Cricetulus griseus: one gene and its partners. The protein of the gene in region 1 purifies or fractionates together with the protein of each later gene. This does not show direct contact. Links are inferred from orthologs where the notes say so. Each region holds a gene or a part of one and is shown in the gene's direction. Other genes may lie near its edges.

Evidence for each region. The genes of interacting proteins can lie anywhere in the genome.
Region 2: the proteins of Sap30 (region 1) and Mta2 purify together in Homo sapiens (affinity purification with mass spectrometry; 3 studies listed by BioGRID, with this or other methods). This does not show direct contact. The link is inferred for Cricetulus griseus from reciprocal best matches to the Homo sapiens genes SAP30 and MTA2.
Region 3: the proteins of Sap30 (region 1) and Arid4b purify together in Homo sapiens (affinity purification with mass spectrometry; 5 studies listed by BioGRID and IntAct, with this or other methods). This does not show direct contact. The link is inferred for Cricetulus griseus from reciprocal best matches to the Homo sapiens genes SAP30 and ARID4B.

What each region holds. Positions count from the first base shown.
Region 1 is NW_023276806.1:235,754,724-235,763,270, reverse strand, and holds Sap30 (histone deacetylase complex subunit SAP30), read left to right. Parts: upstream 1-2,964; 5' UTR 2,965-3,264; coding exon 3,265-3,579; intron 3,580-5,136; coding exon 5,137-5,262; intron 5,263-5,831; coding exon 5,832-5,930; intron 5,931-7,816; coding exon 7,817-7,939; 3' UTR 7,940-8,149; downstream 8,150-8,547. UniProt on the Homo sapiens protein: Involved in the functional recruitment of the Sin3-histone deacetylase complex (HDAC) to a specific subset of N-CoR corepressor complexes. Capable of transcription repression by N-CoR.
Region 2 is NC_048596.1:51,146,653-51,154,504, reverse strand, and holds part of Mta2 (metastasis-associated protein MTA2), read left to right. Parts: 5' UTR 1-110; coding exon 111-138; intron 139-411; exon of another isoform or gene 412-464; intron 465-1,628; coding exon 1,629-1,696; intron 1,697-2,133; coding exon 2,134-2,227; intron 2,228-3,691; coding exon 3,692-3,809; intron 3,810-3,937; coding exon 3,938-4,001; intron 4,002-4,082; coding exon 4,083-4,200; intron 4,201-4,599; coding exon 4,600-4,702; intron 4,703-4,842; coding exon 4,843-4,942; intron 4,943-5,049; coding exon 5,050-5,238; intron 5,239-5,324; coding exon 5,325-5,399; intron 5,400-5,517; coding exon 5,518-5,576; intron 5,577-5,847; coding exon 5,848-5,945; intron 5,946-6,076; coding exon 6,077-6,216; intron 6,217-6,614; coding exon 6,615-6,843; intron 6,844-7,261; coding exon 7,262-7,351; intron 7,352-7,829; coding exon 7,830-7,852. UniProt on the Homo sapiens protein: May function as a transcriptional coregulator. Acts as a component of the histone deacetylase NuRD complex which participates in the remodeling of chromatin.
Region 3 is NC_048596.1:237,302,978-237,310,855, forward strand, and holds part of Arid4b (AT-rich interactive domain-containing protein 4B), read left to right. Parts: intron 1-1,696; coding exon 1,697-1,895; intron 1,896-4,400; coding exon 4,401-5,609; intron 5,610-7,878. UniProt on the Homo sapiens protein: Acts as a transcriptional repressor. May function in the assembly and/or enzymatic activity of the Sin3A corepressor complex or in mediating interactions between the complex and other regulatory complexes.

The sequences.
Region 1 (8,547 bases):
TCACTCCTGGGCATATACCCCAAGGACTCTGTTCTCTGCCATAGGGACATGTTTACCCATGTTCATTTTGCTTCTAGGACGTGGAAACAGACCAAATATTCATCACCTGATGAGAGAGACGACGAAAATGTTGTGCCTATATATAATGGGATTTTATTCAGCTGTAAAGAAAAATGAACTCAAGAAATTTGCAGGTACAACGATGGAGCTGGAAAGTGTTATCCTGAGTAAAGTAACCCAGACCCAGAAAGACAAATACTGTTAGGTTCTCACTCACATGTGTATCTTAGCATCAGATCTTTAGATCTGTGAATTTAATTTGGGGTCCTGAGGATTTTAACTTACATTTGCTTTCTTTTTAAATTAATACTGTTTTGTGATAGTTAGCCACAAATAATTTCAGAGCCAGAGCAAATTCCAGCATTAGGTGGCTTCATATCGGTGGGAACAGAATCATGATAAAAGCCACAGATAGAGCTGAGCAATTTGTTAAACTGTAGGTCAAACTGAAATTCAGGTGCTGCTTTAATGTATGCAGTACTGGCCCAGTATGGTATAGCAATTACTTCTCTGTTGTGATGAACACCGTGACCAAAAGCAACTGGCATGTTACCATCTATCATCAAGGGAAGCCAAGACAAAAACTGAAGCAGAGACCACAGAAAAGTACTGCTTATGGGCTTGCCTCCCCTAGCATCCTCAACTACCTTTCTTTTTCAAGACAGGGTTCCTCTGAGTAACAGTCCAGACTGTCCTGAAACAGTCCAGGACTAGAACTCACAGAGATCCTGTCTCTGCCTCTCACGAGCTGGGATTAAAGACATGCGCTGCCACTTTGGCTTTGGCTTCAGCTGTCTTTCTACACAGCCCAGGCCCACTTCCACATGGATGGTACCACCCACGGTAACCTGGGCCCTCCCACATCAAACAACAACCAAGAAAATGCCCCACAGAAATGCCCATAGACCAATCCGATGGAGGTGATTCCTCACCCAAGAGTCCTTCTTTCTGGGTGCGTCTATGACTGTCAGTGTCAGGCTGAATAATCTTAGCACCAACACTTAAGAATTTAGGAAGAGCAAAGCTGAGCATGTCATTTGTTAGTCAGAGGGTTGGGCTTCAGTCTGCATTAAGGGTAGTAACTGTAGAAGGTCTTTCTTGGGCTGGGGCTGGAGTTTAGTTGTGGGTTCACTTAGCATCCACAAAACTCTGGGTTCAGTTCTAGGCACTACAATAAAAAGTAACTCACTCACCATAGGGCAAGAACCACAGCGGGAGTATGAACTAGAGTATCATCTACTTGTCTGTAAACAGAGTCTCCAGGCATTAATTAGTTAAGTAGACTTTTAGCACCAGAGAGGAGATGAAGCTACTCTGTAGGAGAATAATTCAAATTATTTTATAATTATTTCTATCAAATAAAATGAAAAATCAATCAAAGGCAATGAACTGAAGAAGAGTCGGGTGTGAGCATCTTCATCAGAAACAATAGACAAGTGAAACAAGACTTACTAAACATAGCCTAACAATCACTGTCCTTGCTAGGTTTACTGAGAAAAAAATCAAACTTCTAAATTTTGTCAGTGGATTGGAAAATTGGTGACATTTAAGATCTGGGGGAAAAAACATAGGAATTATAAGACTAAGAAGTGTAACAAAACCCAAAAAACTATGGGTGAATTTTAGAGCAGAGTGGGCACACCTAAATAGAGAATGTATGACTAAGTGTAGGTTAAAAGAATCCAATGGAAATTTAAAACAAAACATAGCCACTGAAGATAAGGTAGGAAACACAAAGAGTACAGTAGGAGGCCTAACATATACTGAATTGGAGTCCCAGAGATGGAAGAAATGGCATGGGAAGGCATGAGAGCCTAGAATTTTCTAGTATTTGATTAAATATATTAACTTATAACTTAACAAGTACGAGAGAAAAATGACCATTTTAAATAATAAAAATGTATTCACCAATTTTCACGGCTGTATGAGAGTAGAAATTCACAGATAACACGGGCAGCTTTGAGTTTCTCCGTGAATCTGTCCTAAATCTGTTAGTAAATCGACTAAGTCTAAAACGGCTTTCTTTCAAAACTCCTCTACCTGAAATACATTATTTTCCTTTAATCATTGGGATAGCTAAACAGTCCAATAATTAGCATGACCACGCCCATCCTCCCACCCCTCCCACCGCAGGCTCAGGCAGGAATACACGCCTACGCGAGCACAAACACGTACCCAGGCGCGCTCCCGCGCTCCCGCACCCACCCACCCGCGACACATACAAGCATACATGTACGCATGTGTATGACTCAAGAAACGAGGTTTTTCTCTCCTCGTCCCCTACGGCCAGCGCTGCCAAGTTTCCGAGCAGTCCTGCAGACCTGGTGGCAGTGGGGATCCTTTAAAGGTTCTTAAACCCCTCCCCTCTCGGATCCGTTTGCGCGGAAGTCCAGGGCAGCAGAGGCAAGCAGCAGTCCGGCGCCTGTCAACCGGTTGGCACACGGGAAGTACACTGCGGCGTGGAGATGGAGATGCAGGACCCAGCGCCTAACGAATGCCAGATCGCCCGAGTGTTTTCCATAAAGAAGAAACAGCCCACAAACTTTTTCTCACTTATTCCCTAGTACCCCACCGCATACACGCACTGTTTATGTTTCTTCCCAGGAGTCGGCTGGCCGTCTGAACACTAACTTTACGAAATAACAGGAGCTAAAAACAGCCCTTGCTCGTAGGAGATAAAAGAGGCGAGAAAATACAGTAAAGCCTGACCTCATACTCGGATTTGCCCGGTGCTTGGAATGGAAAAAAGAAAAAAACCTCACGGGTGGCTGGCCGCGCGGTGTATGCTGGGATTAGTAGTTCGTCCAGCACGTAATCAGAACGGAGCGCAAGTGGGCTCCGCGACCGAGAACTACTATTCCCGTGGGGCCGCGCGGCGGTGGAGGGGCGGGGCCGGAGGAGGGGCGTCTCACTCGCGCAGGTCCCGGGGCTGGAAGGAGGCGGTGGAGCCGCGGTCCAACTGCTGAAGTCTCCATGTGACAGTGAGTGGGGTCCCCTTTTTAGGAGCCACTCCACTCCCGATCACAGTCCCAGGAACCCGCCGCTATTCCAGCGCCCACAGACCGACAGGCCCGGGACTCTGGGCGTCGGACCGTGCCGCCGCCACACTTGGGGTGCGGAGTGAACGGCCGCCCCGGGGAAGGAGGCGGAGCGGCGCGGCGAGCGGGGCTCTGTGGCGGCGCCGGCGCCCCCGAGCTGGCAGACATGAACGGCTTCACTCCGGAGGAGATGAGCCGCAGCGGGGACGCGGCCGCAGCCGTGGCCGCGGTGGTCGCTGCTGCAGCTGCCGCCGCTTCGGCGGGGAACGGGAACGCGGCTGGCGGTGGGGCAGAGGTACCCGGTGCTGGTGCGGTATCGGCTGCTGGTCCCCCCGGAGCAGCCGGTCCGGGCCTCGGGCAACTCTGTTGTCTGCGGGAGGACGGCGAGCGGTGCGGGCGCGCGGCTGGCAACGCCAGCTTCAGCAAGAGGATCCAGAAGAGCATCTCGCAGAAGAAGGTGAAGATCGAGCTGGACAAGAGTGTAAGTGGCAGTGGGACCGCCCTGCCCAGCCCTTGCCCTACCCTGCTTGCCCAGCCCGGTCCTTGGCGGAGGCTCACGAGTCGTCGGGACCGGGCTGCAGGTGGGATTAGTGGGTTCTCCGACTGAAACAAAGTCGCTGCAACTCTGGCCACCTCCCCCGGCGCGCCCTGGCGCAGTGGTGCAGGTCCCCTCCGCCCCTACCCCGACTCCGGCCGCCTCGCGTCTCTCCCACTCCAGGCTTCCCTCTTCCTCCTTTGCTGCGATCTGGAAACGAAACAAAGGGAACCAACCGCGTTACCGAGAGCCCAGAGTAGTTTTCTTGTAGCCGGGCAGCCCCTTCTCTGGAATGGAGGCGCCTTTGTTTTGCTGCCCGAGCCAGCGTCTGACCCCAGGGAGTAGCTCCGCTCCTTTAGGGAAAGTCGAGTCTGGCAGGAACCCACGTCGCAGAGAAGGGAAATCTCCCCCCTGCATTCCCCTCGATATTGTTTCTCTTGAACACGCAGAGGGAAGCCGAACTCACCAGTGCCTTACTGGGAGGTGGTTGTAAACGGTGTTTGCGGTGTCAGCTCTTCGTGCAGCTGCTCCGAACCGAGGCTGCAAATAATCCTCAGTGGTTTTACAGCCCACTTGGCAGCCATCGGGATTTTTTTTCCCGTCTTTATGCACGTTTGCTCTTTGGGCCAGCTATGAGGTTTCAGAGAGATCCTTTGCTACTTTCCAGAGCTCTGGCTGGTGGCAAATGAAGAAGAGGATACAGAGCCTCCACACATCTGTATATTTTTTAACTTGCTCTTAGCTTAGTAGTCAATTTAAAAGGCCCTTAATTGTGTAGCCTTAAAGGGGGGAGGGGGAGACTGTCAATCAGCTCAGTATTTCCAATCGCTCATTATGTAACTCTCAAATGCCTGTGTAATTGTTTGAAAAGTTTGTGTTTCTGTTTAAGCCGTTTTTCAGTAGGACCCATGAGAAATGTTGCAAGTGAATGTGAATAATTTCTGTGTTCTTTAATTGAAAGCAACACAGTACAGATAAATACATTCATTTAATTCTTACAAAGAAATGTTAGTACTTGAAATTTAAACATAGGATATGAATTCAATAGCGCATTTGTAAAAATGCCTAGTTAGTATCTGTGTGGAATTTGACTAATTAGTAAGATTAGGAAGCATATACCTAACATTAGGAGCATTAATATGATTTGCTGCTCTCAGATTAGAGAAAATTATCACCTCTTCCCTTGTACCTTCAAAATCAACGGGAGCTAATTTATTTAGGTCATCCTCAATGCAATTTGATGACAAACCCCAGAGGGTTGGAATTTCTCTTCCTCTGTCTGCCTGCCTTCTCCCATGGTACCACTCTCCTTCCCCTCCCCTCTCCCACAAACAGTATTGCCAGACTGCTAATGTTAGAGTCAGGTAACCGGTTTGGAAAGGAACGTTACATTGTCTTAACAGTGGCCCGCTTAGACTGTTCAGTCATTCATCTGGGCCTATGTGTTTTACTAACACAGAGATGCATTGTTCTGTATTCACTGTCTATGAAACTTTGTTTCAGGCAAGACATCTTTATATTTGTGATTATCATAAAAACTTAATTCAGAGTGTTCGAAACAGAAGAAAGAGGAAAGGGAGTGATGATGATGGAGGAGACTCACCTGTTCAGGACATCGATACTCCAGAGGTAGAGCAAAGTTTTATTATGTTAAATGTAAATCATAAGCATGCTGGCAATTCCAAAGCCTTTATGTAAATATTTGAATTAAGTTTTAAATGTTTAAAGCATCTGACAAATCTCAAAATTAAATACAATCAGTTAACATGTATTTATACTAGCCGGGTGGTTGGGTGGTGGTGGTGGTGGTGCAGGTGCATGCCTTTAAACCCAGCATTCGGGAGGCAGAGGCAGGCGAATCTCTGTGAGTTCCAGGCCAGCCTGGTCTACAAAGCTACACAGAGAAACCCTGTCTCGAAAAACCAAAAATAAATAAGTAAATAGAATAAAACATGCATTTATACTACTATTAAATCTCAGGTGACAGTTCTTGTAGCCCTTGACCTATAACTTCCTTTTTTTTTTTCCTCTAAAAGCTTACACTATGTATCCCCAAAAGGTGAAACTAATAAACTCTAGATCTGACTGTGGAAAAGAAATTGTTCTTGTGCTGAAGTGGACATTGCCCTTTGCTTTACAGATCAGTGATATCTTTTCAGCAGAGTGAACTATGTTACATCTTAATTTTTTTTTTCTAGGTTGATTTGTACCAATTACAAGTAAATACACTTAGAAGATACAAAAGACACTTCAAGCTTCCAACCAGACCAGGCCTTAATAAAGCACAACTTGTTGAGGTATGTATAATTTTTATACGGTATAAACAAACCTGTTCACACCAACAAGGGTTGTGATTAAATGATGATGAAATAGGTAAATGTCTAATGTCTAAGAAAGTCAGAGTTAATGGGTCTATCATGGTGTGCATATAGTGGTTTAGAAACAACTGTCTGTCACCTAGAAAATCCACTTACAGCATTTTTTAATAGGGATTTCTCAGAGTAAGTATTTAGTGAGTTTTTAATCACTTCAGAAATCTGTTTTAGGTTTCTAATTATTCAATGTCTGTTTATTGAACACCTAATTGAGGCATAACAAATAAATAAGCTTACAAGCATTTATCAGAATTTAGTTTTCAAAGCTTCTCTGGGATAGGCCTACAGATGAACCCTGAAGCAGTACTTCCTAACTTTCTAGTTTTACTTTCAGGTTGTCTTTGTTAGTAGTTGTTGTTTTTAAGTAGAAGATGCTTTCTTTACATCGAGAGAGAGCAAAGATTTTATCCAAGCTTTTACTTAAAGTTTATTTTGTATAGGACTTTGGTTCCTTCAGAGTGCTTTGGAAATTAGCTGTGTGTGTGTGTGTGTGTGTGTGTGTGTGTGTGTGTGTGTGTTTTCAAGAAGTAATAGAGCCACAAAATCTGTGCACTTTAAAGTATTTACAGATTTAAATAATTAGACTTTATATGTAAAATAAACTTTTCCACTAAATAGACAGGACAGAAATCTCTCTCTCTCTCTCTGTGTGTGTGTGTGTGTGTGTGTGTGTGTGTGTGTGTGTGTTTACATGAGTTTTCTCATATTCTTGGGTTTGACTTGAGTAGTTAGCCTACATTTCTAATGTGCATATTAAATAAAAGATAAATACAAGTTGCAATTCTTTGTAGAAAGTTCTTTTACATTATTAAAATTCAATATGCTAACTAGCCAAATTTTCTCCTCTATTTTTTGCCTAGACAAAAATATAATTTTTCTTCAAATTTTATTTAAAGATCTAGTCCTTTTACCATGGCACAGTACATAAACATAAAGATGTTCCCTACTATGATGAAATATACTAGACATTAATGAAGTATGGTCGCCCCTGTTTTGTAACAGAGAGGAGCCAAGAACTGATGCAAACGTTGTATGATATAACATCATATAGTTTATAACTCAAATCTCAACTTTAAAGTCTGGTCTTCTAAAAACAGTTGAATTAGTACAGAGTTATTTTCTGTTCTAGAAAAACAGGCCATCTTCTGGAATCGGAGTGCACACATTAGCAGCTCAGTTTCTTATTCGTGTTGGTAGCTCAGTGTGCATGTTTGGTTTGTGCTGTGAAAAGACAGGGAAGCAGTCTTCTTGAGCGTCTTTCTAGCTCCTTTAATTTTCTTAAATCTTACTCAGAAAATTTTGCTGAAACTTAGGGAGAATGAATATCAATTGCACCAAAATTGTATATGATATCATAGTTTGTTACCAAGGGTTTTTGTTGTTTTGTTTACATTAATCTTTTCCTGTGAATGCAGTCGACATGCACGTTGGCTCTTTTGTTTTATGTCATTGATATTTAATGTTTAAGAATATGTACTTTATAAGTTGTTAAGTTTAAAGGGAAAAATACTTATAACCAGTGGACCAAAGCAAGTAAAATACTTAGAATTAGAGCATATGAATTGAGTAGACTAAAGGGTCCTTTGAAATCAGACTGTCCTTTGTTGATAATATTTTGTTTTTTTTAAATGTGCTTTGGGGCCTGTTCATATTTTGTTAAAACAGCTTAATTTTTAAAAGACAATCTCTTGTGGCCATATAACACATGGCCTAAACTGTGCCTTTTTTTTTTTTTTTTTAAACTGTGCCTTTTACCTGGCTCACAGAATCTGCTGCATCTAACATTTAATTTGTTTTTTTCTTTGTAGATAGTTGGTTGCCACTTTAGGTCTATTCCAGTGAATGAAAAAGACACCCTAACATATTTTATCTACTCAGTGAAGAATGACAAGAACAAATCAGATCTCAAGGTCGACAGTGGTGTTCACTAGGAGAGATGGCATTCACACTAGCACATAGATGTCTGGCTGTAAAGAATGTTTACTGTTTTTCATATGTAGAAATGTTCTTGGGTATTTTTTCTACAGAGGATTTTCTTTGGCTTTTTTTGTTTGGTTTTGATTCTAATAATTAGTTGGAAACTCATATGAAATGAGCTTCCTAAATTAAAACTATTTTAAATAAAGGTTATTACTATTATAGCTGCTTCAGTGTATTTATTTTGTGAAACTTAGTTTTTGTTTTAAGCTTTCAGGAATTGGTATTAAGGTTTCAGGTAAAGATCCTTATTTTGTAAATTTTTCTTGAAAATTCCAAGTAATTAAAGGTAAAGGAGAAACAACAGATAAATGTAATTTCCCTAGATCAATTTGATTTGTAAGTAAGTGTGTGGTGGTGGTGGTGGGGTGGGGGGGGGCGTCTGTTGGTTTTGAGACAGGTATCTCTGGCTGTCCTGGAACTCAGAGATCCACCTGCCTCTGCCTCCCAAGTGTTCAGACTAAAGGCAAGCTCTACTTCAGGCTAACAGTGTTTTTTTTTAAAATACTTCACAGTGTATGTTAGCAGGTTTAAAAATTAGACTTCCACTGATTCTTAACTA
Region 2 (7,852 bases), on another chromosome or scaffold:
ACTTCCGCGAAGCGTCAGCCCCACGCTGGGGGCATCGTCTGGAGCTAAGCTTTACCCCCGCGAGCCTCCGGGTCCTCTTTGTGCGGCCGGAGGCCGCGGCGGGAACGGCCATGGCGGCTAACATGTACCGTGTGGGAGGTGAGTACACCGGGCGGAAGAGGTTGGGGACGGGACCAGGGAGACTCGGTGTCCGCAGGCGCGGGGAGCAACATCTGGGGTCGTAGGGGCCACAGCGCCGACCGGAACCGGAACCGAGACCTATGGTTCCGCGGCGGCGACGCTACTGGGAGCCGAGTCTCCCGCAGAGGCTTACCTACAACGATCGGTGCTCTTGAGTCTGCGACTGGATCCCGGGGTGGGAAGTAGGCTTGGTTTGGAAGGGGACTGAGTGACTGCGGGGCCAGCTGCGGGGAGCCAGTCGCTCAGGGGTTTTCTTTTCTTTGGCGGCTTGTTCGTTCACGAAGGTGAGGCCTGAGGTGGGGGGAACAATTTACTCAATTCTCCCACGCAGGGGTGCAACTCCAATGCAGAGTTGTGTGGACTACAGGGAAATCCTTGTTATCTTTTTCCCCCTCCTCTCTCACTTCTTGGTTTTTCGACTCTGTCTGTCTGTCTCTTTGGTTTTTCGAGACAGGGATTCTCTGTAGCTCTGGCAGTCCTGGAACGCACTCTGTAGACCAGGCTGGCTTCGAACTCAGAGATCCTCTTGAGTGCTAGGATCTGACTTTTGAGTGAGAATCTGATTTTAGCGCTAAGTGTTGCAAGGGTGGGAGTAAAAACTTTTCTCCCTCCCCCCCCGCCCCCCCCCCCCGGCTGTCTTAGAACTCAGGAAATAGACCAGGTTGGCATCGGACTCAGATCCACCTGCCTCTGCCTCCCTCTGCTGGGATTAAAGGTGTGAGCAATCACTGTCTGGATAATTCTTTTATTTCTTTTCTCGTTCTTTTTTTTTTTTTTTTCCTCGAGACGGTTGATACTTATTTTCTTTTGTTTTCTCGAGACAGGCTTTCTCTGTCTATCCTTGGCTGTCCTGGAAATTGCTCTATAGACCAGGCTGTCCTCGAACTGGAAGAGATCTGCTTACCTCGGCTTCCTGAGTGCTGTTGGCCACCACTGCCCAACTAATACTTTTCTTTTGCGGGGGTGGGGGGATGGGGGGTGGGGTTCGAGACAGAGTTTCTCTGCGGCTTTGGAGGCTGTCCTGGAACTAACTCTGTAGACCAGGCTGGTCTCAAACTCAACAGGGAACCACCTGCCTCTGCCTCCTGAGTGCTGGGGTTAAATGCATGCGCCACCACCTTCTCTAATACCTATTTTCTTTTCTTTTTTTTTTTTTTTTTTTTGGTTTTTCGAGACAGGTTTTTCTCTGTGTAGCTTTGGAGCCTATCCTGGAACTCGCTTTTGTAGACCAGGCTGGTCTCGAACTCACAGAGATCCACCTGCTTCTGCTGGGATTAAAGGCGTGCATCACCAACACCCAGCTATACTTCTTTTCTTAAGTCTTTCCTCTTGCACATCTCCACATCTCTACCTAGCATTTTGTCTTTTTTTGGTCCACCCAAATCCACTTTCTCTTCTGGGTGCTCTGGTTTTCTTCTGATCTTGTTTCTCCCCACCCCCTTCTACAGATTACGTCTATTTTGAGAACTCCTCTAGCAATCCTTACCTGGTTAGACGGATTGAGGAGCTAAACAAGGTGAGTGGAGCAGAAATGGAGCAGTTTCTTTCTTCTGGAGTCTAACTCCAAGTGGAAGGGAGAGCCAGCCTTACCTAGGCTTAGAGCCTATACAGGTGAGCGAGCGTTCATTCCATGTATAGAGCTGCTGAGAGCTTAGCTGAAGCTTTATCATTCTCACATCTGGGGATAAAAGAATCCTGTCTCTGTTGTTTTTTTTTTGTTTTTTTAAATATACAGTGTCTATTTTGCAGCCTTGGTTGCCTGGAACTTTCTGTGTGATCAGGTTAGCAAACTTATGGAGACCCATCTCATTGGTCCTGTAATTATCTTTGAATATTAAGTCTTCATTGCTGAGTTTTTGGCCTCTTCTACTTAAGTCCTTAGAGAGTGCCTGTTAGTGTACCTCCACTTTCAAATGGCTAATTTTCATTGCCCTGTTTTTCTTCCTTCTTTAGACTGCCAATGGCAATGTGGAAGCAAAGGTTGTCTGTCTCTTCAGGAGAAGGGATATTTCTAGTAGCCTCAACAGCCTGGCTGACAGTAATGCTAGTGAGTGTCTTCATTCCTTCCCCTTTCCCCCCTCCCCAGGATCTGAGGACTAGACTTGTTCCTGCAGGTGTTTCCCCTGGTAACACGCCCAAGGCAGGGTATGAGTTTGGAGGTGGGAAGTGCCTGGTCTGCAGAGCAAGGCCTGTTGTTACATGTTGGGGCTGGGGCTGGAAGCCGGGTGGGGAGACCATGATCAGAAAAGCCAGAATGTGGTGTGTGTGTGTGTGTGTGTGTGTGTGTGTGTGTGTGTGTGTGTGTGTGTGTGTGTGTGTGTGTAAGGAGAGATACTTAGATAGGGAATGAAAAGAGCTTTAGAGAAGGCACGTGGGGACATTTTGGGTACTTTGGGACAGTGGTTAGTGAGCGATGGTCAAGGTGGAGAGGAAGATACTGTTTTGAGAATCCTGCATAGTAATGGGGGAGGCTTATCCTGTCGTCTGGAGGTGAAGCCAAAACATTGACGAAGCTGACGGAAGCTAGAGGGCAGGAAAGCGCTTGAGCTTTCCTGTTTCCCTCTCTATTCCAGTTATCATCTGCCTTACTTCATCTTCTCATTTTTCCCATTTAACTACTTTGCCTCTTTTTTTCCCTAAAGTTTTCTTTTTTCAGGCCACAGCCATGAAAGAGTTAATGAGCTGGGCCTACCAAGTTTCCTGGCCCTTTGGGGTTTCTAGCCCCATCTGGCAGGGGCTGACCTTGGCTTTGTCCAATCAGAATGGGTAGGGGGTGTGGTCCTCCTTGCCCTCCCCTGGGTTTTCTAGAGCACACCAGGGAGAGGTGGAGCCTACTACACAGACACAGGACCTCCCCCACCTCCCCACTTGCTGTGGTACACCCAGTTCTTCAGGGGAACAATGCACCAATGAACAAGTGCTTAAGTTTCTATCCCGCCCACTTTGTTTGGCACTTAGCCAGGTTAACTGTTTCCACCAAGATTTCAGTGCAAGCTGCTGCCTCTTGAGGAAGGTGTTGGCTCTGGTTTGAGAGGTGCTTTTCTTGAAAGCCCCACAGACTATTATTAACCAAGTAGAAAGAGAAGGAGAAGTCAGTTGCATGTGATATTCAGGTACAGCAAAGAGTCCTGAAGCATGAAGAGGAGCTGATAAATAAATCCTGTGTGCTGTTCTTACATCTTAGCTGGATTCTAGGACGTCAGGCTGGTTCAGCAAGAAAGAGCTAAATGTAACATACAGTATTGTGGCTATATTTGTGTGTTAGAGCGGCATCAGCATTGGCAACTAGGTTTGGGGCGCATTTCTATGGCATCCTTATGCAGGTCTCCCCTTCATGGAATTAAAGAGAGGACTGAGCATCCACAGTGAGGCGTGAGGCCAAAAGGGAAAGCTGGGCGAGTGAGGGTGAGATGCCCGAGGGAACTGAGACAGCAGCTGAGGTAGGGTGTTCTTTAGCTGAGCTAGTTAGCCACCTCGGAGTACCTTGTTTCTGACTTGTTCCTTCCTCTAGGGGAGTTTGAGGAGGAATCAAAGCAGCCGGGGGTCTCAGAGCAGCAGAGACATCAACTGAAACACCGAGAGCTCTTTCTTTCTCGGCAGTTTGAATCATTACCTGCCACCCACATAAGGTATAGGAGGGTCTGGGTCCCTGTGGCCTTTGTATGTGCCCTTGTTTAGAAATGGAGAGAAGCGGGTGTTGTGTTGGGGATGGTAGAAGGTATGTCTTGCTCATTCAGTACTTTCTGGCCTGTCTTAGGGGGAAGTGCAGTGTAACTCTTTTGAATGAGACAGATATCTTGAACCAGTATCTGGAAAAGGAGGTAAGGACATCCTGAGAGAAGAGGGCTGGGCTTCACTGCCATGTGGGCTCCTGTCCACAACTTCTCTCTCTCCATTTTTAGGACTGCTTTTTTTACTCACTGGTGTTTGACCCGGTGCAGAAGACACTTCTAGCTGATCAAGGGGAGATCAGAGTTGGTTGCAAATTCCAAGCTGAGATTCCAGATCGCTTGACAGAAGGTAAGCAACAGAGTAGATGTGCTGGAACGTAAATTTCTGTGGATCTCGTGACTTGGGGTTTCTGTACAATCTTAGATTTTCTGTTGTGACCTTGCCAGAATGGGACTTAGGAGCCTGAAAGAGAGGAATGGGCACAGCTGGGAGGGGAATTCGGAGGCTTGATGTGGCTGATGGAAGAAGCAGGTGGATCTGAGTTTGTGGCCAGCCTGGTCTACAGTAAGTTCCAGAATAGCCAAGGCTACACAGAGAAACCATGTCTTGGGGAAAAAACCAACAACAAAGGAAAAAAAAAAAAAGAATCCAAGCAGAGAAGAGGAAGAAGTTATTGTGAGTGACTAAGATTATCAGTTATTTCCCCCTCTCTCCCTCACTGGTGATGCTGTCTGCTTGGTTCCTCAGGTGAATCAGATAATCGAAACCAACAGAAGATGGAGATGAAAGTCTGGGACCCAGACAACCCTCTCACAGACCGGCAGATTGACCAGTTTCTAGTGGTGGCCCGGTGAGGGTGGGTGGATCCCGAAGATGGGCTGGGGAGGAGTGAGCCCTGTTCTGAGGCCCATCTGTTTTTTTTTTTCTCTTTAGTTCCTGAGGCTGCTTGAACTTTTTTCTTCCCTTCTTGACTTGTCAATCTCTCCTTAGAGCTGTGGGAACCTTTGCAAGAGCCCTAGACTGCAGCAGCTCCATTCGGCAGCCGAGCTTGCACATGAGTGCAGCTGCTGCATCCCGGGATATCACCCTGGTAAGCACAAGTTGTTGGGCATATCGGGGCAGGAGAGGAGGGAGTCATGGAGACAGTAGGTATACTCAAAGAGCAGCAAGTCATCAGTTTTCTTTTCTATTTGGTAGTTCCATGCCATGGACACATTGCAAAAGAATGGCTATGACTTGGCCAAGGCCATGTCAACCCTGGTGCCACAGGGGGGCCCAGTGCTGTGTCGAGATGAGATGGAGGAGTGGTCCGCTTCTGAAGCCATGCTATTTGAAGAGGCTCTAGAGAAGTACGGGAAGGATTTCAATGATATCCGCCAGGACTTTGTAAGTGAATAGGACTAGAAGCGGTGAGAACAGGGAGTCAGGACCTAGGGCCAGATGCCATCTCAACCTCTGTTTGCTGTTCTTAGCTACCCTGGAAGTCACTTGCAAGCATAGTCCAGTTTTATTACATGTGGAAAACCACAGATCGGTATATTCAGCAGGTATGGTTTAGGGCCGGGAGGTTGGACAGAGGCCCCCTACTAACCTCTCTGCCTTTTGGTTTGTTTGATTTCATCTGTACTGAGATGGTCTGAATTTCTGTTTTTTTCCTTCTAACAGAAAAGATTGAAAGCTGCTGAAGCAGACAGCAAACTGAAACAGGTCTACATCCCCACCTAGTAAGTGTGGCAGGAAGGGAGAGTGTTTCTCTTCCTCTCCTAGTTTGTTTCTTTCTTAGTGATTGGGGATGAGCAGGAGGCAGAAGCAAATTGTAGAAGCTGTAGTTCAGTGATAAGCATGGGCTTACTGTCGGCAAGGTCCTAGTTTAATTCCCAGCATTCCAGAGAGAGTGATGGGGTAGGGTGCGGTGGGGTGGTAGGAAAGGGAGGGACAGATAGAAGTGAGTTATTTCTTTGACTAGCTTCTATGTTCTCTTGTTTCCTTCATTAGTACTAAGCCAAACCCTAACCAGATCATTTCTGTGGGTTCAAAACCTGGCATGAATGGGGCTGGATTCCAGAAGGGCCTTACTTGTGAGAGCTGCCACAGTGAGTTTCAAAGAGGGACAGGGATGCTGGGGTGGGTGGCCTAGGATGGCCTGTTTCTCTGGCCTAGAAATTTGAGGAGCTCGGGTGGCATGTTTTCTGCTAGCATGTTTCTGTTCTCTATGTTCCTGTAGCTACACAGTCTGCCCAGTGGTATGCCTGGGGCCCACCTAACATGCAGTGTCGTCTTTGTGCTTCCTGCTGGATTTACTGGAAGAAGTATGGGGGACTGAAGACCCCAACCCAGCTTGAAGGAGCAGCTCGGGGCACTACAGTAAGACTTAATCACTTGGTGGGAGCTGGGTGTGGTGGCTGGGGCAGGTGGGTCTCTGTGAGTTTGAGGCCAGTCTGGTATTTATAGTAAGCTCCAGATTAGTCAGGGCTACATAGTAGACACCGTCTCAACCAATAGAAAAGAATCACTGCAAAAAGAGGTAGGGGACGGGGAGAGTGGTAGACATACAGACAGATATGAGCTTTAGGCAAAGGTTAGAAACCTGACTCCTTAATATGGAGACAGTCATATGGACAGAGGCACTTGCTAAGGGTTGAGAAGCCAGGAAAGTTGGGTGGAGTGCTAGTGTAGAGTTCAGGCAGAATAGTTTGCTGTCTTCAGGAAATGGAGGAAAGGAGTGACTTGCCATTTCCCTTTTTCATATGTCATTCCTCCAGGAGCCACACTCAAGAGGTCATTTATCCAGACCTGAAGCCCAAAGTCTCTCACCCTATACAACCAGCGCTAACCGGGCCAAGTTGCTGGCTAAGAACAGGCAAACTTTCTTGCTCCAGACCACAAAGCTGACTCGTCTTGCTAGACGGATGTGCAGAGACCTGTTACAGCCAAGGAGGGCTGCCCGAAGACCCTATGCACCTATCAATGCCAATGCCATCAAGGCAGAGTGTAAGCACTGGAGTGGTAGTAGTGATGAGTACTAAGTTGCTCTGGCTAGAGACTGTTGTTTAATGATAGTAGGCCACAGAGGGTGTTTATTAGATAAGGTTTAACTTTTGGCCCTAGAAGAGGCCGGAGAAGTGAAGTTCCTTCAGAAATTTTGATCTGTCATGTCTGGTGGTTCATGCCTTGGAGGCTGTAGATATAACTACCTAGTTCCTATCAGACTGGTCTAGGTAGTGAGCTCCAGATCAGCCTGGATTACATAGGACCCTGACTCAAGTAGGGTAGGCATTCTAATACATGCCCATAACTCAAGTATTGGAGAAGCAGAGTCTAGGCTGGCCAGGGCTATATATACAGCAAGACCATTTCAAAAAGCCAGAACAAATCTGCAGAATATCCAGAGGCTTTCATCTTTCTCCAGGCTCTATCCGACTTCCTAAGGCTGCCAAGACGCCACTGAAAATTCACCCTCCGGTGCGGCTGCCCTTGGCAACTATCGTCAAAGATCTGGGTATGGGATGGAAACCACACTTGATCCAGGGTGGGTTGAAGGTGGAGAAACAGTTTGGGTGGTGTCAGGCTGCTAGCCGTTTTACTATCCAAGAGCCATTTCTTCCCCTGAGTTTTCCTTTCCCCCTGAGTCCAAACTGTGTGTGTGTGTGTGTATGTATTCTTTTTTTTCCTTTTTGGTGGTGGTGTTTTCGATCAAAACCCAGAACTCATATTCTGGGCAAGTGTTTTACTATTGAGGCCCATTTTTGGCATAGCAGTGACTTTTCATAAGTATTTTATGATCTGGAAACATAATCAAATGTTGTTTTTGAAATATGTGTTAAGTAGCTTGTAGGCCTTTTCCTCCATTACTACTGGTCTGATGACCAAGGGAAATTGCTGGGCCAGGGTAAAGAGGGAAGAAAGAATGGTAAGGAAAACTGTACAGGCAAGAGAAGGTGTGAACGTTTTCTATTCCTCCCCCCCTTCACTGTTAGTGGCCCAGGCACCTCTGAAACCA
Region 3 (7,878 bases), on another chromosome or scaffold:
TGTTCCTGTTTAGAGACCCCTTGTGGTCTCAGATGCTGAATTTATTTATCTTGTTGGCAATCCTTTTATCACTGTAAACTTGAGTCTAAGTTTCTAGTACAGTACTCCAGTACCTAAAGCTCAGGATTTCTTAAACCCTTTACATTTTTTGTTGGTCCTTATTGGAAAGTATGTAAATTATGCTATATTTAGCATTGTTTTTAGTAACTGGAAGAACATTTGCTAAATGTTTGTTAAAAATTCATGTCTTTGTACAAAGCAAGCTTTGGAATAGCATTGCTGAGTAGATGAGTCAGAGAAACAATGTTTGGGTCATGCACATGAAATGTTCTATGAATGTCTGTCTCTGTCCACTGCTTGGTACTAAACTAAACATGTTAAAATTCTTGGTCATAAGGAAAGAGGCTTGAGAACTATAAGTTTTTTAAAGTTTTATTATGCATTACTCTTTGGTATTGCCCCTCCCTCCCTCCCTCCTTCCCTCCTTCCCTCCTTCTCTCCTTCCCTCCTTCCCTCCTTCCTTCTCCCTCCCTCCCTTCCTCCCTCCCTCCCTCCTCCCTCCCTCCCAGTTTTCTTTAAGAGCCCTTGTTGGAGAAACTCATTTGACAGCCACTAAAAAATATATTTGAACTTAGACTGAAGTGAATTGTTTCAGCCTTTGGTGCACATGGTACATTGTGATTTCTGAGATCAAGTCATGAAATGCTGAAATGATGGGAGTAACAGTAGACATAGGCTGTGGTAGTCTACCTGCCCTTTTAAAGATGTTCTATAAGTTAGGCCCAGTCCCTTGATCCTTATTATTGAAACATGTACCAGATAACATGGAGAACACATTAAAACAGGCTGTCTGGTTCCATTGTCAGCATTTTGATTCATCTTGTTTTTAGGGGTCTGCTTTTCTAGCAAGTTCTCAGAAATTGCTGGCTAAGGACCCCACTTGGAGAACAGCCGCTACCCAAATTTTAACTGTTACATGTAAGGGAGTATTTTTCCCATGTACTATCTTTTAGAGACTTGTGAAAATAATCACTCATGTTTTCAGTCTGTCTATGTAATAGGACTTAAGAATTTTTGTTGCTAAGTCATACTGTGAAGAGCCTAAATTGCAAAACAACAAAAAACATTGCTTATAGGAATTACCTTAGCCTTGACTCATTTGTTTGTTAACTGAGCGTGAGAAAAGTATCAGCCTTTGAGTGAGGTAGGAAGGCTGCCTCTGAGCTCACTTCACAGCCTGTCAATGCATGTAATTTCTCCTGTAAATTTCAAAGTACAGAACTTGGCTATTGTACTTTACAGTGAGAATGTTCAATTTTAATATGAGTGTTGAAATTGAGTGTTTAATTTTATAAATATTAAATTTGGATCTATTATTTAATTTTCAAGAATTTGTAGCAGTTATTAGCAATACTCAGTTCCTACTCTTAGTCATCTTTTCTGTTTGATCCCTACTGCTAGACTGTAAATACAGAACAATTTTTTCATCTCAGTGTTTTCATGAATAACCTAAAATAAACCTGATTATTTTGAAGTTTTTCTTTTTGCATTTTCTGGTATTCTTTCTCAGTTAAACATTTAATAATATTAATAATAATAATAGGCATTTGATGTTTCTTTAAAATAGAATGAATATTGTTACTAATAAGTTGTTCATAATACATTATAGCTAATATCTAATGCTTTACTTACCTAGAATAAATTAGACAAAGAAAAAGACAAAGATGAAAAATACTCTCCAAAGAACTGTAAACTTCGACGTTTGTCAAAACCACCGTTTCAGTCAAATCCATCTCCTGAGATGGTTTCAAAACTAGACCTTGCTGATGCCAAAAACTCCGATACAGCTCATATTAAATCTATAGAAATTACTTCCATTCTTAATGGACTACAAGGTAAATATAACTGTTGCATGCAAGTATTTGATTTTAATTTCTATAAATATTTAAATGAATTTAAATGTGGTTGTGCATGACTGTAATTCCAGTACTCAGAGCTGAGGCAGGGGGATTGAGAGTTGAGGCTAACCTGAGTAATAAATCAAGAGAGTGTCTCAAAAAAATCCACGTATTCCTACCTCCTGCCACCCAGAAAAAATTCCAAAAGTTAAATTCTATAAAAGTAGTTCAGGTTGGTTTTTTGACCAGAATTTGCTGTGTGTGTTATTAGTTGGGCACCTCCAGTGTTGGGTTTCTCTACTTCTTGTCAAACACTGTCCTTTGTGATGCTGTCTAAAACATAGTTGTGCTGTGTATTAAGACTGTAAAGCAATTCTGAAAGTTATTTGTGAAGAACTCATCTGCTTGTTTGTTCTTTTTATGATGCTGTTATGGTAGCACACATGGTAATAGTGAAGCAAATAGTAACAGAGAACTGGGCTGGAGAGATGACTTTGTAGTTAAAAGCACTTGTTGCTCTGGCATAGTCCTGAGTTCAATCTCCAGCCCCCACATGACACCTCATTAACCATCTAGCTCCAGAGTGGAGGGGATCTGACACCCTCTTCTGAACTCCACGGGCATCAGGCAAACGTTTGGTGTGTGTACACACACATACATCCAGGCTAAACATTCATCCATATAAAATACTAAATAAACTATATCTAAAAAGCTTTGAGAATTGGAGATTATTAAATCTGGCATGAAAATGTATTGGAACAGGGATCTGATCTACAAAGTAAATTAATTCCTTTCCCTAAAAATATTTTAAACTGCTCATAACTTAAGTTTTGGTTTTTATTACTTTTGACTATAATAGAAATTAGATTTTCTCCTTTATTTCAGAAGACTGTATATGGATTCATTATATAAGCCTGCTACTATATACTATTCTAAAGTTTGCCTTAAAAGTTTTCTAATGTATCTGACATGTAGACTACTATATGAAAAAATATAGTTTAAAGAACAAGAATTAGACAACTTTAGTCACGAGCAGGTAGCAGTTAATTAGGTGTGCCTCCTCAGGAGTTATTACTACCTTAACTTTATGTAACATTTTTTTAAAAAGTAGGATTTAATTATTTATGAGTATACTCCTAAATAAGATATTGTTTATTTTAAAAACAATAGTGAACATTTAATGTAAGCCTCAATTTATGAGAAAGCTTAGGTTGAGGTTGCCTTTAATGCTGTTGGGGCCAAATGTAGTGCACACCTTTAATTCCAGTACTCAGGAGGCAGAGGCAGGCAGTCTCTTGAGAGTTTCTGGCCAGCCTGGTCTACAGAGTGAGTTCTTGGCCAGCTGAAGCTACACAGAGACTTGTCTGATCAGATTCTCTAGGTTATATTCTGATTTCAGAGTGTGCTTTATTAGAGAAAGATTTGTTGTAATACCTTCTTTGGAGAGGTAGGTGGTTCATTCTAGAATGATTAGCTGGCTAGAAGGCAGAGGAAGTGGGTCTTCACTGCACATAGTGAGTTCCAGGATAGCCAGGAGTACATAGAGAGACCCTATCTTGCCCCTACCTGCATTCCGTCCTCCTACCCCCACCCCAATATTGGGAATGGGAGGGCAATCTTGAGGAAGAATTATCTTGAGGAAAAATGTTGTTTTTGACTTGGCTGGATAGAAAGAATCAAGAGCTGTTCTCTAATATAGGTTTTGGATTTTTTGTTGTTGTTGTTGTTAAATTGAGGATTTCCTTGTCCTGAATACTCAGTAAAAATATTTTTTAAGGATTTATTTTATGTGTGTGTGTGTGTTTTGCCTGCATGTATGTATTTGTACCAAGTACCTGGTACTTACAGAGGTCAAAACATTGGTTGGACCCCTTGGAATCGATGTTAGAGATGGTTTTGAGCCACCGTGTGCATGCTGGGGGACTTAGGTCCTTTACAAAAGCAACAAATACTTTTAATTGCTGAACCATCTCTGCAGCCCTCCATAGTCTCATTTTGATGACAATGTTTTCTAGTACTTTAAGAGCAAGTACAAGAAAATGGCAAATTTCCTAGTTGTATTCACTTGAAAAAGTTTCTGTTCTAGTTACAGGTTTTTTGTTTTGTTTTTGTTTTGTTTTTTTTTTTTTTAAGTCTGTTTTTCACTAGTTTACCAAATGCTACAGCCTGGATAGAACACAAAAAGAAAAGGATTTTTATTTCTTGCATTGAGGGCATTGAGCAGCCCTCTGTGGTGAGAGCATCACAACAGTGGTAAGTCATGCAATAGCTAATCCACTACTGTGAAAAGGACATCAGTCTGTTCATGACATAGGCACTTCTTAAAGTTCCCACTTTGCCAGTATTGTCATAGTGTCAGTTAAGTTTCAGCTTCAGTTTTGAAGAAGACATTTAAATCCTAGCATCTAGGATAGAAGTTTTTCTTTCCATTTTTGTTTGTTTGAGGCAGACATAAACAATAGTCTTACTAGGCTTATTACTCCCCACCCTCTTATTTTTTAGCTTCTGAAAGTTCTGCTGAAGAAAGTGAGCAGGAAGACGAGAGGGGTGCTCAGGACGTAGACAACAGTGGCAGAGACGAATCAAAGGTAGACCATTTGACCCACACCAGAAACGAGCTTATTTCAAAAGAGGAACAGAGTAGTCCATCTTTGCTAGAAGAAAACAAAGTCCACACAGATTTGGTAATAGCTAAAACAAAATCTCCAGAACGATTAAGAAAAGATGTGGAAGGATTATCAGAAGATACTGATTTTGAAGAAGATGATGAAATCACAAAAAAGAGAAAGGATGTTAAGAAAGACACAACAGATAAATCTTTAAAGCCACAAACAAAACGAGGAAAAAGAAGATATTGTAATACAGAAGAATGCTTGCAGACTGGATCCCCTGGAAAGAAGGAAGACAGAACCAAGAGCAAAGAGCTGCTTTGCACAGAAAACAGTAGTAATAGCTCCTCAGATGAAGATGAAGAAGAAAAGTCCAAAGCAAAGATGACACCAACCAAGAAATATAATGGCTTGGAGGAAAAGAGAAAATCCCTACGGACAACTAGTTTCTATTCAGGATTTTCAGAAGTAGCAGAAAAAAGGATAAAACTTCTAAATAACTCTGATGAAAGACTTCAGAATAGCAGGGCTAAAGATAGAAAAGACGTCTGGTCAAGTATTCAGGGACAGTGGCCTAAGAAGACACTAAAAGAGCTTTTCTCTGACTCTGACACTGAGGCTGCAGCTTCTCCACCCCATCCTGCCCCAGATGAGGGGGCAGTAGAGGAGTCACTGCAGACTGTGACGGAAGAGGAGAGTTGTTCACCCATTGTAGAGCTAGAGAAGCCACTGCCAGCCAGTGTGGACAATAAATCAGTTGAAGAAAAACCTCTAGAGGTTAGTGACAGAAAAACAGAATTTCCGAGCAGTGGCAGTAATTCTGTACTTAATACCCCGCCTACTACACCGGAGTCGCCTTCATCAGTCACTGTGACAGAAGCTAGTCAGCAGCAGTCTTCTGTCACAGTGTCAGAGCCCCTGGCTCCAAACCAGGAGGAGGTTCGAAGTATCAAGAGTGAAACTGACAGCACAATTGAGGTGGACAGTGTTGTGGGGGAGCTCCAGGACCTCCAGTCAGAGGGAAATAGCTCACCAGCAGGCTTCGATGCAAGTGTGAGCTCCAGCAGTAGCAATCAACCAGAACCAGAACACCCAGAAAAAGGTGAGGTTGAAAAGTACATGCTGACCACTTGTAGGATGTCCCCCTAAATGCCTTGGTAGTTGCACTGTGTCTTTTAATGTGAGGCGGTTAAGTGATGTGCTTGTATGAACACAGTGAAAATGGACAGTAGGAAGGTAATTTAAATAATGATAATGGAATGCATTTGAGAGCCTTTAATGTCCTTTTCCTGAACCATCAATAACATTTCAAGTGGATTTGAGACCACATGCTACAACTTGCATGTAGGCCCAGAGCTAAAGATAATGAAATTCATTCTATATGTTGGTTGACTATATATATGAGCCACTTAACTGTATTTCTATAACACTGTGTTTACAGTTATAACGTGCAGTCTCTCACAAACATTTTGATTTGTTGACAGACCCCTCCACCCTTAACCAAATACTGTAAATAGGGGTTTGGAGCAACCAACTGTCCAGGCACTGCTTCCCTCAGACAACCGTGTCAAACTGATTTGCAAGCCTGACTTACTTGTGTGAGTTTGTAAAGGAATTTGATGCTTTATTAGATGTATAGCTTCCAAATTGAAGGACCAATGTGTATGTTAACAATACTCTACATTAATATTCTTGATTTTCCTAGAAGTTGTTCAGAGTGGAAAATCAAATCAGTGCTTTGTCAACGTATTAATGTCTCCTCATAGCACCATAGTTGTATTCTGCCGTTATTTTTTTTATAAACTGCTTTGATCAGGTGCCTTAAATCAGTTAAAGCCAGAACTTGGTTTTGTATGTACATACCTAGTGTAAAAATAGAGCACTGGAGGGCATGTGTTTTGAGTAGCAAGAGAGTAGTGAAGTAGTTAGAGGGTCTTAGTTGACCATAAAGAGATACGGTAACCTATCCATGTTGTAATCCCAGCACTTGGGAGTCTGAGGGATGAGGCTGTAGTATTCCAAGGTCAACCTGAGCTGCAGAGTGAGTTCCTGGCTAGGGGTGTTGCATAGGGATAGCCTTTCTCAAATAACTAAAAGATACCCAGTAAATCACTAATAGTAGTTATTGGGGATTTACAATTCTAGCTATACCGTGATACTGCTCCATGGAGTTATATTCATGAAGAAAGGGATCTTCAAAGGGAAAGAATGCCAGGCCTTCAACAGTGTTGTATTAGAATTTCAGCTCTTGAGAGATTATATCCTCTTCATGGTCTTCATCTCCTAAGAAAAATATAAAATCAACCAGAAAGAGTTTGATATATTCTCTAGATTCAGTCAGTGCTGCCCTTTTGAATATTAAACTTGATTAGATTAAAAGTATGGAGCCGGGTGGTGGTGCACACTTTTAATCCCAGCACTCAGGAGGGCAGAGGCAGGCAGATCTCAGTTTCGAGGCTAGGATGGTGCACAGAACAACTTCCAGGACAGCCTGTGCTACATAGAGAAACCCTGTCTTGTGGGGGGGGGGGTGGAAATATGGAAGGAACTTGGACTGGCAAGAAATTCTTTGGGTAAAGCCTGATGACTCAGATTTATCCCTAGAACCCACTTGGTTGAAAGAGTGAATCGACTGACAAAGTTGTCCTCTTACCTACACACATGCACATTTTTCTCCTTTTTTTTATATTTTTATTATTTATTTATATGTACTTGTATATGTGGGCATGTGACTGGAGAGGACAGAGGGATGTCAGATCCTCTGAAGCTGGAGTTAAAGGCAGTTGTGAGCAGCCAGATGTGGGTGCTGGTAATCAAATCAGGTCTTCTACAAGAATGGTATGTGGTCTTAACCACTGAGCCATCATTCTAACCCCCTCCCCACCTCTCCCCTTTTCGTAATAGCTTAGTGGTTAAGAGTGCATACCACTTTTGCAGAGGACCAGAATTCAGTTCCCAGCACCCACATCATATGGTTTACAACCTCCTGTATGTTACTCCAATTCCAGGGGATTTGACTCCCATCTTCTGGCCTCCATTCACACGCTCATACTCACACATATAACTGAAAATAAATTTTATTTATTTATTTTAGCTTACATGTTTTTTTAATTTAAATTTTATTTTTAAAAAAGTATGAAACTGGAGGCCATCTGCTTTACGAAATCAAAGCAGTATTTAGTTTTTTTGGGAATTCATATCTCAATAAACTCTTAGGCACCTATCATACAACTTCATTTTAATTAAAATATCCAGTAAAAATATGAAATTTCATACAATACATAGCCTGTTACAGTTTTCAACCAAGAAAATTGTGTTTTGTAAACTGTGGATTAATTTTACAGTTGATAACAAAGGTAGCAAGAAACACT